Linked DNA regions of Rhinolophus ferrumequinum. The protein of the gene in region 3 interacts with the protein of the main gene of each other region in a pairwise test. Links are inferred from orthologs where the notes say so. Each region holds a gene or a part of one and is shown on either strand. Other genes may lie near its edges.

What was found.
Region 1: the proteins of DCTN2 (region 3) and GADD45A interact in binary tests that used the Homo sapiens proteins (3 or more experiments, as listed by UniProt). The link is inferred for Rhinolophus ferrumequinum from reciprocal best matches to the Homo sapiens genes DCTN2 and GADD45A.
Region 2: the proteins of DCTN2 (region 3) and CCDC172 interact in binary tests that used the Homo sapiens proteins (3 or more experiments, as listed by UniProt). The two-hybrid records come from large-scale screens. The link is inferred for Rhinolophus ferrumequinum from reciprocal best matches to the Homo sapiens genes DCTN2 and CCDC172.

What each region holds. Positions count from the first base shown.
Region 1 is NC_046292.1:49,812,036-49,816,728, reverse strand, and holds GADD45A (growth arrest and DNA damage-inducible protein GADD45 alpha), read right to left. Parts: upstream 3,138-4,693; 5' UTR 2,909-3,137; coding exon 2,865-2,908; intron 2,333-2,864; coding exon 2,231-2,332; intron 2,010-2,230; coding exon 1,772-2,009; intron 1,576-1,771; coding exon of another isoform or gene 1,529-1,575; intron 456-1,528; coding exon 342-455; 3' UTR 126-341; downstream 1-125. UniProt on the Homo sapiens protein: In T-cells, functions as a regulator of p38 MAPKs by inhibiting p88 phosphorylation and activity.
Region 2 is NC_046299.1:12,232,885-12,237,577, reverse strand, and holds the start of CCDC172 (coiled-coil domain-containing protein 172), read left to right. Parts: upstream 1-1,755; 5' UTR 1,756-1,814; coding exon 1,815-1,893; intron 1,894-2,100; coding exon 2,101-2,186; intron 2,187-4,693.
Region 3 is NC_046293.1:56,513,692-56,518,384, forward strand, and holds the start of DCTN2 (dynactin subunit 2), read right to left. Parts: upstream 3,072-4,693; 5' UTR 2,788-3,071; coding exon 2,752-2,787; intron 1,870-2,751; coding exon 1,801-1,869; intron 1-1,800. UniProt on the Homo sapiens protein: Part of the dynactin complex that activates the molecular motor dynein for ultra-processive transport along microtubules. In the dynactin soulder domain, binds the ACTR1A filament and acts as a molecular ruler to determine the length.

The DNA.
Region 1 (4,693 bases), on a different chromosome or scaffold from region 3:
GCACATTTAAACTTTAACAAAGCATATTTGGTTTAATCAAATGTAACTCAACCATCCTAAATTAATACATAGTTTGTTTTCCTTCCTGCGTGGTTCTTTGTAATTCTTGTTCTTTTTGACTTATATTTCTGTTTCAACAGTTTCCTTCTTCATTTTCACCTCTTTCCATCTGCAAAGTCATCTATCTCCGGGCCCCCAGAGCATGTAGTTGAACTCACTCAGCCCCTTGACATCAATTTCTGTAATCCTTGCATCACTGTAGGGAGTAACTGCTTGAGTAACTACAAAGGTATTTCAAAACTTCAGTGCAATTTGGTTCAGTTATTTTCATTCAGATGCCATCACCGTTCAGGAAGATTAATCACTGGAACCCACTGATCCATGTAGCGACTTTCCCGGCAAAAACAAATAAGTTGACTTAAGGCAGGATCCTTCCATTGCGATGAATGTGGATTCTAGGGACAATTTTAGAGAAATAAATTTACTATTAAAAAAACACTATCAGCATTTGCTAATAAGTACACTATTTTTCAGGGAAAGACACTTGAACATTCTATACTGGGGTTTTGTGACATGGAGACTGGTTACAATCACAAAAATATTTTCTTCCAGGAGGTGGCTGGATGGCTCAGTTGGTTAGAGTGCAAGCTCTGAACAGTAGGGTTGCAGGTTCGGTTTCCACATGGGCCAGTGAGCTGCACCCTCCACAACTAGACTGAAGGACAACTACTTGGAGCTGATGGGCCCTGGAGAAACACACTGTTCCCCAATATTCCCCAATAAAATTTTTAAAAAATTATTTTTTTCTAGTTAGTTGGATTTCCTGCAAAATCATTAAGGGTAATTCTGTACTAAATTATACCCTGCGAAGTGTGAACTCATGCAACCCACTGAATCACATACATGTTTGCATGACAATTATTCAGTTTTGCATGAGTGTCATTCACAGGTTTGTCCTACCAAACTTGTACTGTGGCACAAACCTGAGTGAACAACTTCTGAGAAATATTTCTAGCTGCCCATACAATGAGATGAGAGCTGATAGCAGTTAACTATTACATAATTGCCACCTGTTATCCTCCAAAAAGAAAAAGTTTTTTCAGGAGTAACAAAATAATTGGGCTGCCACTTAACTAGACCAGCCAAAAAGTAGTAAAATATAAAAGACAAAGCTATCACATTTGCCTCTACACCTACAAGTTATCTACCTACCAAAGGTTTTTATCAGGGGGTTAAAAAAAAACAAAAAAAAAGAAACCCTCCACTAAAAAAAAAAAAAAAAAATGCAAGATTGCAGAGAAAAAATTTCCACTCTATCCTCTTTATGTATTTCTAGGGAATTAATGAGGCTTGTCTCCTACACCATTTCTATTTTTAGCTTTGACTGGCAGAGAATGAAGCTGACTCCTTAATGAGGGTGAGCCAGGAATTTATTTGGCTTTATCTAATCTACCCTGCTAAAGGAATTAGTCACGGGAGGTAGTACAGATGTAGGTAGGGAGTAGTTGGGCTGACAGTGCTGACTCACAAGGATCTCTTCCGCTGCTGGCAGCCTCCGACGTGCTTAGGCATGTTCTGTACCAGAGAAAATCCTGATGATGAAACTGGCACATCTCGGCTGAAAGTCCTGCCACACTCTTTAATGGGGCAAAGGCAGCCACGCGCTTGACGGGCACCTATTCTGCAGTCAGGCAGACTGTCCGCCCTGGCTCACTTCCTTCCAGTACTCCGAAACCGCGACGGGCGGGCCCGCAGTTCCCTTCTCCCTTACCGTCACCAGCACGCAGTGCAGGTCTGGGGGCTGCTCCGCGCCCTCGCTCGCCGCGGGGTTCGCGTCGGTCTCCAGGAGCAGGAGCTCCGCCAGCCGGCCCGGGTTGCTGACGCGCAGGATGTTGATGTCGTTCTCGCAGCAGAATGCCTGGATCAGGGTGAAGTGGATCTGCAGAGCCACATCTCTGTCGTCGTCCTCGTCCGCGGCCAGCAGGCACAGAACGACGTTATCCGGGTCGCTGCGGGCAGCGGGAGGGGCGGGTGAGCACAGAGGCGCTGCGGGCCCGCGCGGACCCACCCGGCTCCCGGGGGTCGTGCCCGGACCCGCTCGCTGCCTCTGGGGCAGATGGAAAGCAGCAGGAAGGGGCGCTGCAGGGCGAGGGGCACCCGGCTTGGGCGACCTCTCCGGGTTGGGGGTGGAAAGGGGTGCCACGAGGGACACGCGAGGGGCCCCACTTACACGTTGAGCAGCTTGGCCGCCTCGTACACCCCGACCGTGATGGTGCGCTGACTCAGAGCTTTACTCAGCACTTCCTCGAGGGCATCCCCCACCTTATCCATCCTACACACCGGCAAGAGCAAAGGGTCGCGTCAGCCCGGGTCTCCTCAGAACCTTCGGCGCCCCCTCGCCCTGCACCGCGACCCTCCCTCCCGAGTGCATGAGTCACCGCGCACCTCAGCTTCCTGCAAGCCCGGGGCTACCCCGGCCCCGTCACCCCCCATGACCCCTCGCACGCCCCGAGGCCGGGTGTCCTGTTAGAATCCCCGAGAATGCCACCCGCCACCCCCCCGCCCCAAGCGGACTGCCAGTCCCTGGCGCAGGGCGCAGCCACAGGCTGCCAGCCGCAGGAGCCGCACGACAGGGAGGGTCGCTTCTGCCCTTTGCAAAGGCAGCCTAGAGGGGCTCGGTCGGGTTCGGGAGGAAACACTCTTTCCGTCCGCCGGCGCCCCTCTGGAGGGTTCCCGTAGGGGAAAGGCCGGAGGTGCTCTCTGCAAACTTTTACCCGCTCGTTCCCCAGCAACCTTCCACAGCCTGGTTGCACTTTGGTGGGCGCAGCGAGTGCAAGTTCAAGGAGAGGCTTCGGCCGACTTACCTTTCGGTCTTTTGCTCTCCAGCCGAAAATTCCTCCAAAGTCATATTGCAACTGCAGGTCCCCCACAGAGAGAGAGCGGCGTGCGGGCTGCTCCTGCCACCGTGGGCACGCGGGCGCCGGCTCTGTGCACTCCCTCAGGCCAGGCTCCTCTAGCACCCGCCGCCGCCGCGCGGTCCGCCCCTCTCGCCCCGCTCGCTATCCGGCCCCTCGCCTCGCTTAGCCCAGAGCAGCGACGCCAACACCGCAGCTGCCTCACAGCCACTGAAGGACAAAGGCCGGGCTCACTGGAGTTATCCTGCTACCCTCCAGCCAACCACCTCTCGCCTCATTTGCATACGCGCAACCATTGGGCTATGCAAATCAGCTTGCTCCGACAATTTGACCCCAGCTCCTGGAACAAGGGCTGAGAGGAGCGGAAGGGGGAGGAGCTACGTGGAAGGCGAGCTTAGGGATAGGGGAGGGCGGGGTCCCAAGTAGGCTCTCTTATCCTGTGGAGGGGGTTGGCAGGACAAGGAGGTCTTTGCAGTGGCAAGGAGTAGGGAGGAGGGGTGTCTTCAGCTTGGGCTGCAGAACGCTGCCAAGTGTTTTTCTAGTTGGTGCACATTTTTTTTAATTGTCGTTTCATGTCTTTTGTTTTTAGGGGTTGCTATTAAAATCTATTTTCGGGGTTAATGCACCCAAGTCTAGTAATTATTAGTAAGAAGTTTACATAAAAAAGAGTGTGTGCAGACCTTTGGGGCAAAGTTTACCTCAGAAGTGTTGTTTATGTAAGTCTAGGCAAAGCTGCTTATTAGTAGTAGTATTATTTCGGTGCCCTGATGGCTGGTTTGATTTATTTTTGGAAGGTTGCAAGGGTTGGAAGCTCAAAAAAGAAAAATCAACACATTTGTGTTTGGTCATGGCAGGGAACCAAGTTGGAATCTTTTCCACAGAAAGCAGAAAGGGTTCCCACCTGCCCAGGATAACTCTGGAAAACCATGTTGGGGAGGTTCTGGCTACCACATGTGTGTATCCTAGCCTTACAACCCAAATTCACCTTTTTCAGAGAGCCTTTCCCAAAGGAGGATCCTTCTGCACCCTCACTAGCTAAGAAACAAATGCCTGACACCCACACAAGCCACAAGTCTAAATTCAAAATGCTCTCAATATGCCTTAAGCTTCCTTTCATAAGGCAAGTATGTCACTACCTTCCACAGAGAACCTGTGATCTCACTGTGAATTATTGATGTTAGATGCTGAATCATGAAGCTGTAGCTATAGGACCTTTTAGTCATATGCTAAAATTTCACCTTTGAGATAATCACAACCTGTGGGTAGAAAGCAAGCAGTAGTGACACATTTTTGAAAAGCAAACTTTAATGTACAAACTTTCACTGAATAGGTTGAAAGTTCTTTTCATGTTATGAGTTTATCCAATAAATTTTTAAAAAATGTCTTAAACCACTGAAGTCATCTAACATTGTGAAAATGTCCTCCATATACTTGCATTCAAAACAGTGCTTGCATTATTAGGGTCATTGTATAGTCAAAGGTCACGGAAGTAATTTTTTGCAAAGGTATATGAGAATTTTTGCACCTATATGTTTGTATCATTCTAGACAAAATATTCTCCAACTCTCTTGATCTTAATTTAGTGGAAAAGAAAACTGATAGGTTGGTTTTCTGGCTCTTTTATTTGAGCTGCCATTTTGCACTTAATCCTTAACTGCCTTGTCAGCAAGGGACAAAGTTTGAGTAAAGGAATGGTGGTAGCTAATGCATAATTTACCCAAGGGTGCTTATGTATTTCATAGCTATACCTTAAATCCTAACACGTAATGTCTTTGTTA
Region 2 (4,693 bases), on a different chromosome or scaffold from region 3:
AATTAAGTTTGAAATTTGGAATAGGTTAAAATTTATAACCAATTATACTACGCATTAATGAAATATTAACTAAGTATTATACAGACGATGTGACAGAATTTACATTTACCTTCTTTTACTTTGTTGTAAATACATTCTAACTAGGAATTACTTTTTCAAGTTTAGCAATGTCAATTTAACACTCAGAAATAAACTCAAATGTTTATTATAATCTTAATATTTTGACCTACTAAAACTAAAAAATTATTTTTTAATTTAAAAAATTCCCAAAGGTGCCTTTCATGTTCAAGCTCTAATTAGCAACCACTCTGGTCTCTGACACATATTGCGCAGATATTGAAGTGTTAATAATACTGCAGCTTGATTACAAAAAGGCAATGATTAATTTTAAAGCAGACAAAAAAGGTATGTCCTGATTACAAAGGAATGATTAAAGCGGAATGTCAGACATTGCACATTTATAGCAGTCTTTGCCATAGTCAAAGGATAAGACTTTGCAAAAGTTTATATTTAGAATCACGGATACTGCCTGCTTTATAATACTGGGTGTTCGGGCCTTCGAGATAGATCACCCTGACTCCAAAGGCCTAAGGCCTTTGGGGGACACGTGGCCACAGGAAAATGTAAGGGTGATGGTGTATTTTGCAAGGTTTAACAATGTAGTTCCTTTTTCGTTTTTCTTCTTTTGTTTCCTTCCTTTCCTCCCTGATTCAATTGCTCTGTTTTCCCAAGGTTGCATACATACCTCATTAATCTGGTCAATCGCCAGAACATGGACTTAAAAGAAACTTGCAGCCCTTAGACTTCTAGAAGCGGACAACCAGGCTGCAACTCCCCTGCAATTTTCCACCAGTTGACGCATGAATCGCCCCTCCAACTGAGTGGAGATAACATTAGCTCCCAAAGAACTGGACGGACCCCAGGATGCGATTTTTTTGGACGTCAACCCCCAGGAATCGCTTGACTCGCCCTTCCCTTTGTTCTGCCTCTTCTTACAGGCCTATCAAACCTTCTGGCTGTTCTAGAAATGGGGAAGATGGCCTTTGAGGTAGGAGCCTGCCATCTTCCCGGAAGACTGGCATTTGGATAAACCTCCTTTTCTTTGCACCAACCCTTGTCTCTGGGACTTCGGCGTTTGTGGGGCAAGCCCAGAACCTGGGATTTTCGGTACCAGAAGCACCTGAAGGCAAATGGGCCAAAGGCGGCGCCGTAGTTTACGTCCCTCCGACGTGAGGCGCCGGCCGCAGCCTCCGAAGGTCTCCGCCGGCGACACTGTTAGTCAGGACCGGTCGTACCGAGAGGCGGAGCCCTGTGAGGACCTTCTCTCCAGAGAGAGGGGCCGGAGAGGTAAAGCCTGAGCACAGAAAGGGCCGCTGCCCAGACCTGCTCGGGAGCCACGGCCTCGGGCCTCCGTTTTTATTTCCCACCGGCACAAAAAAGAAAACCGGAGAGAGGGGCCGCGGCCTGGCCCGAGGGGACCTGCGTTCCGCCAGGGAAAAGGCCGCGTTTGAGGCGGTTCTCACCAGCGGAACGAGGGCGCGAGAGAGGGAGAAACGGGGTTTGTCTCTTAGAACAGGACACAAAGGCCGGGGGTGGGGGGAGGGGGCGGCCCGGGCGGCGGCCCGGCCGTCGGGGCCTCTCGCCAGCCTGCCTCGGCCTCCGGCCGGCCTTGCTGGGGGCAGGGCACCTGGACGTGGACGTCGATATGGGAATAGCCTTAGAATAATCCTTTCTTATGGTGCTTTCCAGGATCTTCAGAGTCGGTTATAAAATATTTAAGGGCAAAAAAAGGATCCGCAGGAGCCTGTGCGGAGATGAGTTTAGAGTCCTTGTTTCAGCACATCATCTTCTCGGAGCAGCGGGCGGAGGAGAGTCGCCGCTTGATGCGAGAAGGTCGGTGGGCTCGTTTCCACGGGACCTTTGTCGTCTTCAGTTCGGAGCTTGGAGCAGAAGTAAATCCCCAACGTAGTGGACTGAGCAGTTAGGGGGGTGTGCTTTCCACGTCGAGGGGACAGAGAGCTGAAAGGTGACTTTTCACAGGCCACCGAAATGGGGACTTGAGAAACATTGATGTGTTTAAGGATTTAATTTGTATTACAGTCAGGTCGGAAATAAACAGATGCCGTGAAAAACTTAAGAAAGCCACAGAGGAGCTGAATGAAGAGAAAATCAAGTTGGAAACTAAGGTACTGACCTGTGGAGTGTGCTCATTATCATTTGAAAAAGTCTGTTTTAACTTGACTTTTGGAAGATATTTAACTAGTTGTCCTTCAAGTAGGAAGCAGCTTACTAGCCTGATTAGCATTTTGTATGTTGCCTGGGAATATTTAAAGTTCTGAATCCGGTGACACCTTCCATTCTAATATGAATTTGTCCTAAAGAAAGAAGTTTAAGTAATAAGGCATTCGTTGGCCGTGTTGTGGGATGGTTAACGTTTTAAAAGAGGACAATGTCATTGGAAAAATAATTGTTCCATAAGTACTTGGTGCACTATGTACATTTTGAATAATAAATAATTTAAGAAGTGTGCTATGTTGATGTAACAATTGAATGTAGCTTCAAATGAGTCTCTGCCTTTTGTTTTTCAACTCTCTACCACATTTTGTACTTGCCTGTCATCCAAAAGCATAATTTTTCTACTAGCATTTCTCCTTTTTCTGCAGCATTTGTAAAGTTCTGCTGTTTTAAATAGAAGCAAGGGAATCTGATGGTTTCTTGAAGGAGGATTTTGAAGCATGCGTTTTGGACAGGCAAATTAATAGGACAGAAACATTCCGGTCAGGGGAGGATCTGAAGGAAAGGGAGACATACCTAATGCATATTGGGAGAGAAATCATCCAAAGCAGAGGACTGATATCTGGGAAGAGGAGGAAACCATCGCAGGTTTTTGATTGGGAAGCAGAGCAATAAAAGTGGTTTTCAGAAGATCGCTCTGAGTTCTGGGAGGATGAGAGCTATGAACATCATCCAAGTATATCACAATGAAGGCCTTGCTACGAGCAGGGGCAGACAGTCATACAAAAATGTTTATTCAACTCCTAAAGATCACTAAGCAAGCAGTGTGCAATGGGAAATCTGTTTGAGGAAGTCTGTTTGCCTTAAAATGTGTCTGTCTTAATTTACCACTGAGGAACTTCCAGTTCTCGTTTTGAATAATGTAATTATAGATGTTTTCTCTACCTGGGGAGCTTCTGCTCTTCCAAGTCTTGCTCAGGCATCAGGTGTGAAGCCCTCCCTTGGACATCTTGGAAAAATTCTTTCATTATAACATTCAGTGCATCACCTTACAATTAAGCAACAATATATACTTGTGTTTGTGTTTGTATCTTTCAATTTTGTGAGCAATATAGCTGGAATTTTTTTCTTACCCATTTTTTTATTCCAACAGCCTTTATCCAATGCCTACAATTAGTATATATTAGCATTTTAAATGACTTAATGAGTGCTAATAATGAGATAATAGGGAGAGTGCTGTCTTTTACAATAGAATTTGAAACCATTACTCAGTAAGATCTTAGGTCCTGTTTTGCTGGAGTAGCAGATAGACTAGCTGTTAACAATGCTAAAAGCTGATGGGATGGGCAAAGCATTAAAAATGTCATGATGTACTTTAGCTTTCTTTTTCTTTAGAAAACAATATACTTTGAGGACTGGTAACTAGAAGCTATTAGAAGTAATAGGCAAAACAGTTAGGTAATGCGTAGATAGCTACCACTCATTCAGCACTTACTTTATGCTGGGCACTGATCTAAATACCACATCTGTATTAACCCCTTTAATCCTGCCAGGAATTCTGTGATAAGGCACCATCATTTAATCTCCCTTTATAGGGGAGGAAACCCAGAGGTTACATGACTTATCCATGGTATATAACGTAAAAACAAACTACCATAATGAAAGTACGATAGCATATTTTATTAAAACAGATTTCTGAGCTCATCTTAAACTTTTTTCCATGAAATTCACGTATAATGTATGTGAAAATTTTGCGTAGAGTTTAGGGCAATATTTTTAGAAGGTCACTTATGTAAGTTTTTGTACAAAAATGTATTTTTCCTAGATTGATGAAGATATTGACCTGACAGCAAATGTTAAAAAAAAAAATTGCTATTTGAATATCTTCTCTGAAAAAAATTAGGTTTGCTCTTTGTAGTATTTTATTTGTTAGCAGCCTCTTTTGCTGGAAAATGGAAATGTAATTTGTTGATATATACATGTACATAAAAAATGTTGATTCAAATATTTATACCTGAGAGGAGAGCAAATCCCTAACACTGTTTAGAAACATTTGCTGAAATTACTAATTAGTATAGGTTCATAAATGTGTATTGCTTTTTAATCAGCTCATGTACGTGGGTAATAATGCAATTGCATCTTATTAATAAAATTAACAGAAGAAGGTCACAGTTCATACAATACTAATTTGTAATTAAAATAATTTGATTTATGATATAGTCAAAATGGTGTGTGTGTATGTATGTGTATAAAGATTTTAAAAGTAGAACCACAATCATAACGTAAGTGACTGATGGGAAGAACTGAAGAAGTAATCATAAATTGATTTCTTGTTTTTTTATTCTCAGAGTTAATTATATGTCTGCCAATAACAATGAAAATGTATTTACTTGAATATTTGACTTGGCATTTATTGACCAATTTATCAAGTAGAAGCAGCAAAAAGAGAAACTAGAAT
Region 3 (4,693 bases):
TCTCAGCAACCCCCACCCCTACCCAGGCCTCCTGTAGCAGATGAAGGTCTCCCCCACCACTTACTCTTCCCTACTGAGTCATTTACCAGAGCCTTAGGCGGTGGAGTAGTTACCCTCCAGCTCCCACACACTCTGAGACTGACATCCTGGGCCATATGCCGCAGCAAATACACACTTAGGTCCTCTCCCCATCACATGCTATTGAAATAGCCTGCTCAGGCTCAGCAGAGGAGCAGCCAATCAGGGCTGCACATTCAGGTTCTACCGTGCCCGGAATGGGGGTCATCTTCTTTTTATGAAGAGATCCCAGTACCTTCAAAAGAAAATTACAATGTATTTTTTGGTTTGGAATGGGGACTGCTGTGGTACTACCTATCTGTATCATGGTCAGTGACCAAAAAACAAAGTCCCATTCATTATTTTGCCACGAAGGCTTGATTCTTACTGGCAGAGGCCTAGGCCACAGTTGAGCATTCTCTGAACTATGGCAGTAGAGTGGAGATCTCAGCGTACACACTCCTGCCCTGTGAGGTCAGGCAGCTCCCTAATAAGATACCTCTTGGAGGGACAGGTGCACACCTAGGTGCTTGAGCAACGACAACATCTGCGTTATCTCCAGATACTCAGGCTTGGGGGACAGACTGACATGCCAGCAAGTACAGAAGCCACAAGGCACACACCACTGAGAGAGGGGATGGGAAGGTGTACCCCACAAAGCAGGAACCACTTCCACATGGGGGAAACCAAATAAGGAATAAGTGAGTACGCCAAGCCATACATTGTAAGCCAGCAACCAGCATTCTCGAGAACTAATGAGCCCCACAGACAAAGGACTTACAGACACACATACTGAGCCTGTTCCCACTGACTCCTGGTCGCAACTTTATTGAGCTCTCACACCATCCATGTAACCCTAGCCCAGCTCTTTTTGGAAATAACAGAACCTAAAACACATCCTACAAGACATGGTAATAGATCTTTGTTCCCCTTAGCACTTACATACAGAATTTTTACTATGTTGATTTTCATTCACTCAATTTTATTTTTTCTTCCGTGTTTCCTATGTTTCCTAACTCCCCCATTAGTCTGGGGGATCCTTGAGAGTAGGGACATTTCTTCCTCTGCATTGCACACACACAAAAAATCAACACAGAATGAACATATTCAATAAACAATGCTAAGTGGTTCCCCTCATTAAAATGGGTCCACAGCTAATTCCTTCCTCCTCAGAATTCTTCTTGGATCTGAGCGCTACCAGGGCCTCACCTATGCTGATATCAGAGTTGTGTTCTGCCTCAAATTTGTTTTGTTCTGACCAGGTCTCTCTTCTTTCTAAAATCTTCAAATTATTTTCTTACTCCTTGCCCAACGGATACTGGATATTCATATAAAAGAGTTCTTCTCTATACTTCCATGTCTAGCTCTTGGTAGGATGGTAATGAACATGTATTAAATGAAATATTTTTGAATGAGAAGGTCTAGGTCCTAACCTCTAGCAGTTTATAAGTGCTTCGGCTTCATGATTCATTACCACGGCTCGCACCCAGGGGCTTAACCAAATCACTAGTCCCAAAACTGTTTTGAGATATTTCAAAGGTCAAGGATCAGGTCTTATTAGTTCCTGGCACGGCTCACTGGCAGCTGCAAGACCAGCAAGGCCTCTGCAAGCGCCGCCACCTACACACCACCCAGGCTGGGTTGGCATACCCGCTTATTGCTGTGGCCCCCAGAAATGGGAAAGGGCCTGCCTGAGGGAGGAAGGTCAGAGCCCAGAGGAGTCCCGAGGCAGCACAGCCTTACCGCATCAAACTCCGCTTGGTCATCCTCAGGGAGGTCGCTGGTTTCGTACACATCTGGCTCGTTCCTGGCCTGCAGGTAGAAGCAGTGACCACCCAGCTTCACTACGGAGCATCCACCAACACCCCTGACCCTATTCCATTCGAACAAGTTAACAGAGAGGGCAGGTTGTGATGCCAGGATTCTGTCCCTTCTCTTCCACCTGCCCGGTTAAATGCACATCAGTTCCCATGACTTAGAAGAATGGGGCTAAGAGTGGGACAACTGGGACCTGATGGTCAATGGTGAGTGTAAGTGATGACAAAGATGTTACCCTGAATCTGAAGGGGGGTGGGTCTTTGGCAATCATGATGGCAAAGGTAGAAGGACTATCCTTGAATCAGGTTCTATACACCACTACCCTGGCACAAGGGTTTAGAGTGACTCAGGACCTTAGTACCCATGATCCTGTGACCCAACCCCCACTCCAAGAATGCAGGCAGGACAGCAGAAAAGGGTACATGACGGCATGTGAGAGGTAGGTTGGGGTTGGGGTGGACACTCCCAGGACAGTTCTCCATCTGGCACAAGAAGGGTTCTGCCTTGGCAGGATAAAGGCCATCACTAAATAGCCTGGTATGTGTTTCTGGGGTGGGGATGGGAGGTTTGGGGAGACACGGGTGGTGCTGACACGGATGGCAAACACTCGACCACAAATGGTAAGGGCCCGGAGACAATTTCTGGGCCGAGAAACCGGCGACTGCCGGAAGAGGGGCCTGGTAGGCCGTCCCAAAGCCCGGCCCAGTCGGGTCAGAGGAGTCCGGAAGATGCTGCGGCCCGTCCGGGAGCGAGCCGCGGGAGCCCGGGGGCGGAGGAGGGGCTGCAGGCGGGAGGGGTCACGGGTTGGTGTCTGTTGGGGGTCCTTAGGAGGTTGGGGGCGCGGTCCTGGGGACCCGGGGCCGGCCCTGTACTCACAATGCCGGGAAGGTCGGCGTATTTAGGGTCCGCCATGGCGGCGGCGAGGCGGGGTTGGGGGACCGGGGACTCGGCGGAGCCGGGGCCGGTGTTCGGGTAGGGGAGAGGCTGGGTCCGGGTCCCGGGTTAAGGCGGCGGCAAAGGGAGCGGCGGAGGAGGCGGAGAAGCAGGAAGTCTCGCGACAGCAGTAGCACAGGAGAAGGGTAAAGCAAAAGTCGCGAGAACAGCCCGCTACCACACCCCTGGAGAGGCGAGGGTTGGCGAGAACGAGGCCAGGGAATGAGGTAATGGCGGGGCGGCGGGGGGAGGGACGCCGCATAGGATTGTTGGATATGTAGTCTTGGCCGACCCGGTATTGGGCGGGAGGCGACATCCCCATCTCAGGCCACTTAGTGATGGGAGTTATTGCATTCAACTTATTTTCTTTAATTTTCACATCGTCTGTGAAAAGAGCTTTTATAATTCCTGTTTTTCAAATGAATAAATTTGCACTTCCAGAAGTTAAATGACTAGATAAACATAACACAACTAGGCATGTTGGGGCACAGCCAAGACTTCAAAAACAACAATAACAGCAACAACAAGTAAACTTTAATAAAGCCTCAGTCACGTTTAGAATGAAAAAGTGAAGCAATTGTCTCAATTTAGAGCTGTCATATAAAATACAGGACGCTAGTTAAATATGAATTTCAGATAAGCAACTAATAATTTTTTTTAGTATAAGTATGTCTCACACCATATTTGGGACATAATAACACAAAATATATTAGTGTGTTTTTTTTAAATCTGAAATTCAAATTTAACTGGGCATCTTGTTTTTGTTTTTCAAACCTGGCAATCCTATGTTAAGTTCATAAATAGGTAAATGGTGGCTCTACATCTGAGTATCCTCTGTTCTCTTAGCCATTTCAGACTTTTGAATTTAATAGTTCAATAAAATTAAAACAACAACAAAAAGTTTGCGAGGACAGATACAGTATTGTTACCTTCATTTTGCCAAGTAAGCACATTAAAAAGAAAAAAAAGAAAACCTACTACTTACTATTGCCATCATTTCTAAGTAGAAAAGTAGGAAGGATATACTCTCAGAAAAAGACAGTCCTTCGAAACTTAGTAAATCCTGATTTATGAAAAACCACACTGTGGTGTTTTTTTTTTAATTTGGGGAGAGGGGCGGTGCTTATCCATAAACTTTTATCTCTGACCAGCGACTCTCCATGGACTAGCATTTTGAAACTTCTTCACTGGAGCCACCCTGGAGCCCTTGGGGGCCTGAGGTTGGGATGTTTCCCAGGATGTTCTCTGAGCTTGCAGGATGCTGCAACACTTAGAAATAGTGCCAGACCAAGTGACTAGAGAGATGCCTATTTTCCTGAGTTTGGAACTCACTGTCATTCTATGCATACTTTCCTGGCTCCTCCCCAGACCTCAACCCCTCCTTTTCCATAGTCCTACTGCTTTCCCATTCAGTTTCTTATGCTGGACCCTTTTCCTTCAGTGTCCTTAAGATTCAAGGTAGGTTAGAGGTATAGGTCCAATTTGGGAAACCTTCTCAGCTGAGTTCTGAGTGGTTAGGTCTTTTCTGGCCAGGCTGTCATTCTCTCCTCTTGCCTCATAGTGTCTAAGTGACCTTAGACAATAACTAGGCAGAACCTCCATCCCCTCCTCCCTTCTCCCATCATCCTGCTCCATCCCTTGGCCTAGAGCCTCGACTCCTGCAGTCTAACTCTGTTGGCCAGCAGAGGCCTGTAATGTGGAGAAAAATCAATTCAGCCAGTTTCTAGATGGTTCTGCCCAGGAGCTGCAGCACGAGTCTGACCTAAGGGGAGGAAGGACAAGGAATCTCTAGGCTTGTTTTTTGTTGTTGTTGTTGTTTTGTTTTGTTTTGTTTTGCAGGTAAGGGAGAGAAACAGAAAAGAGACCTGAAGAAAGGGGCTGGGGT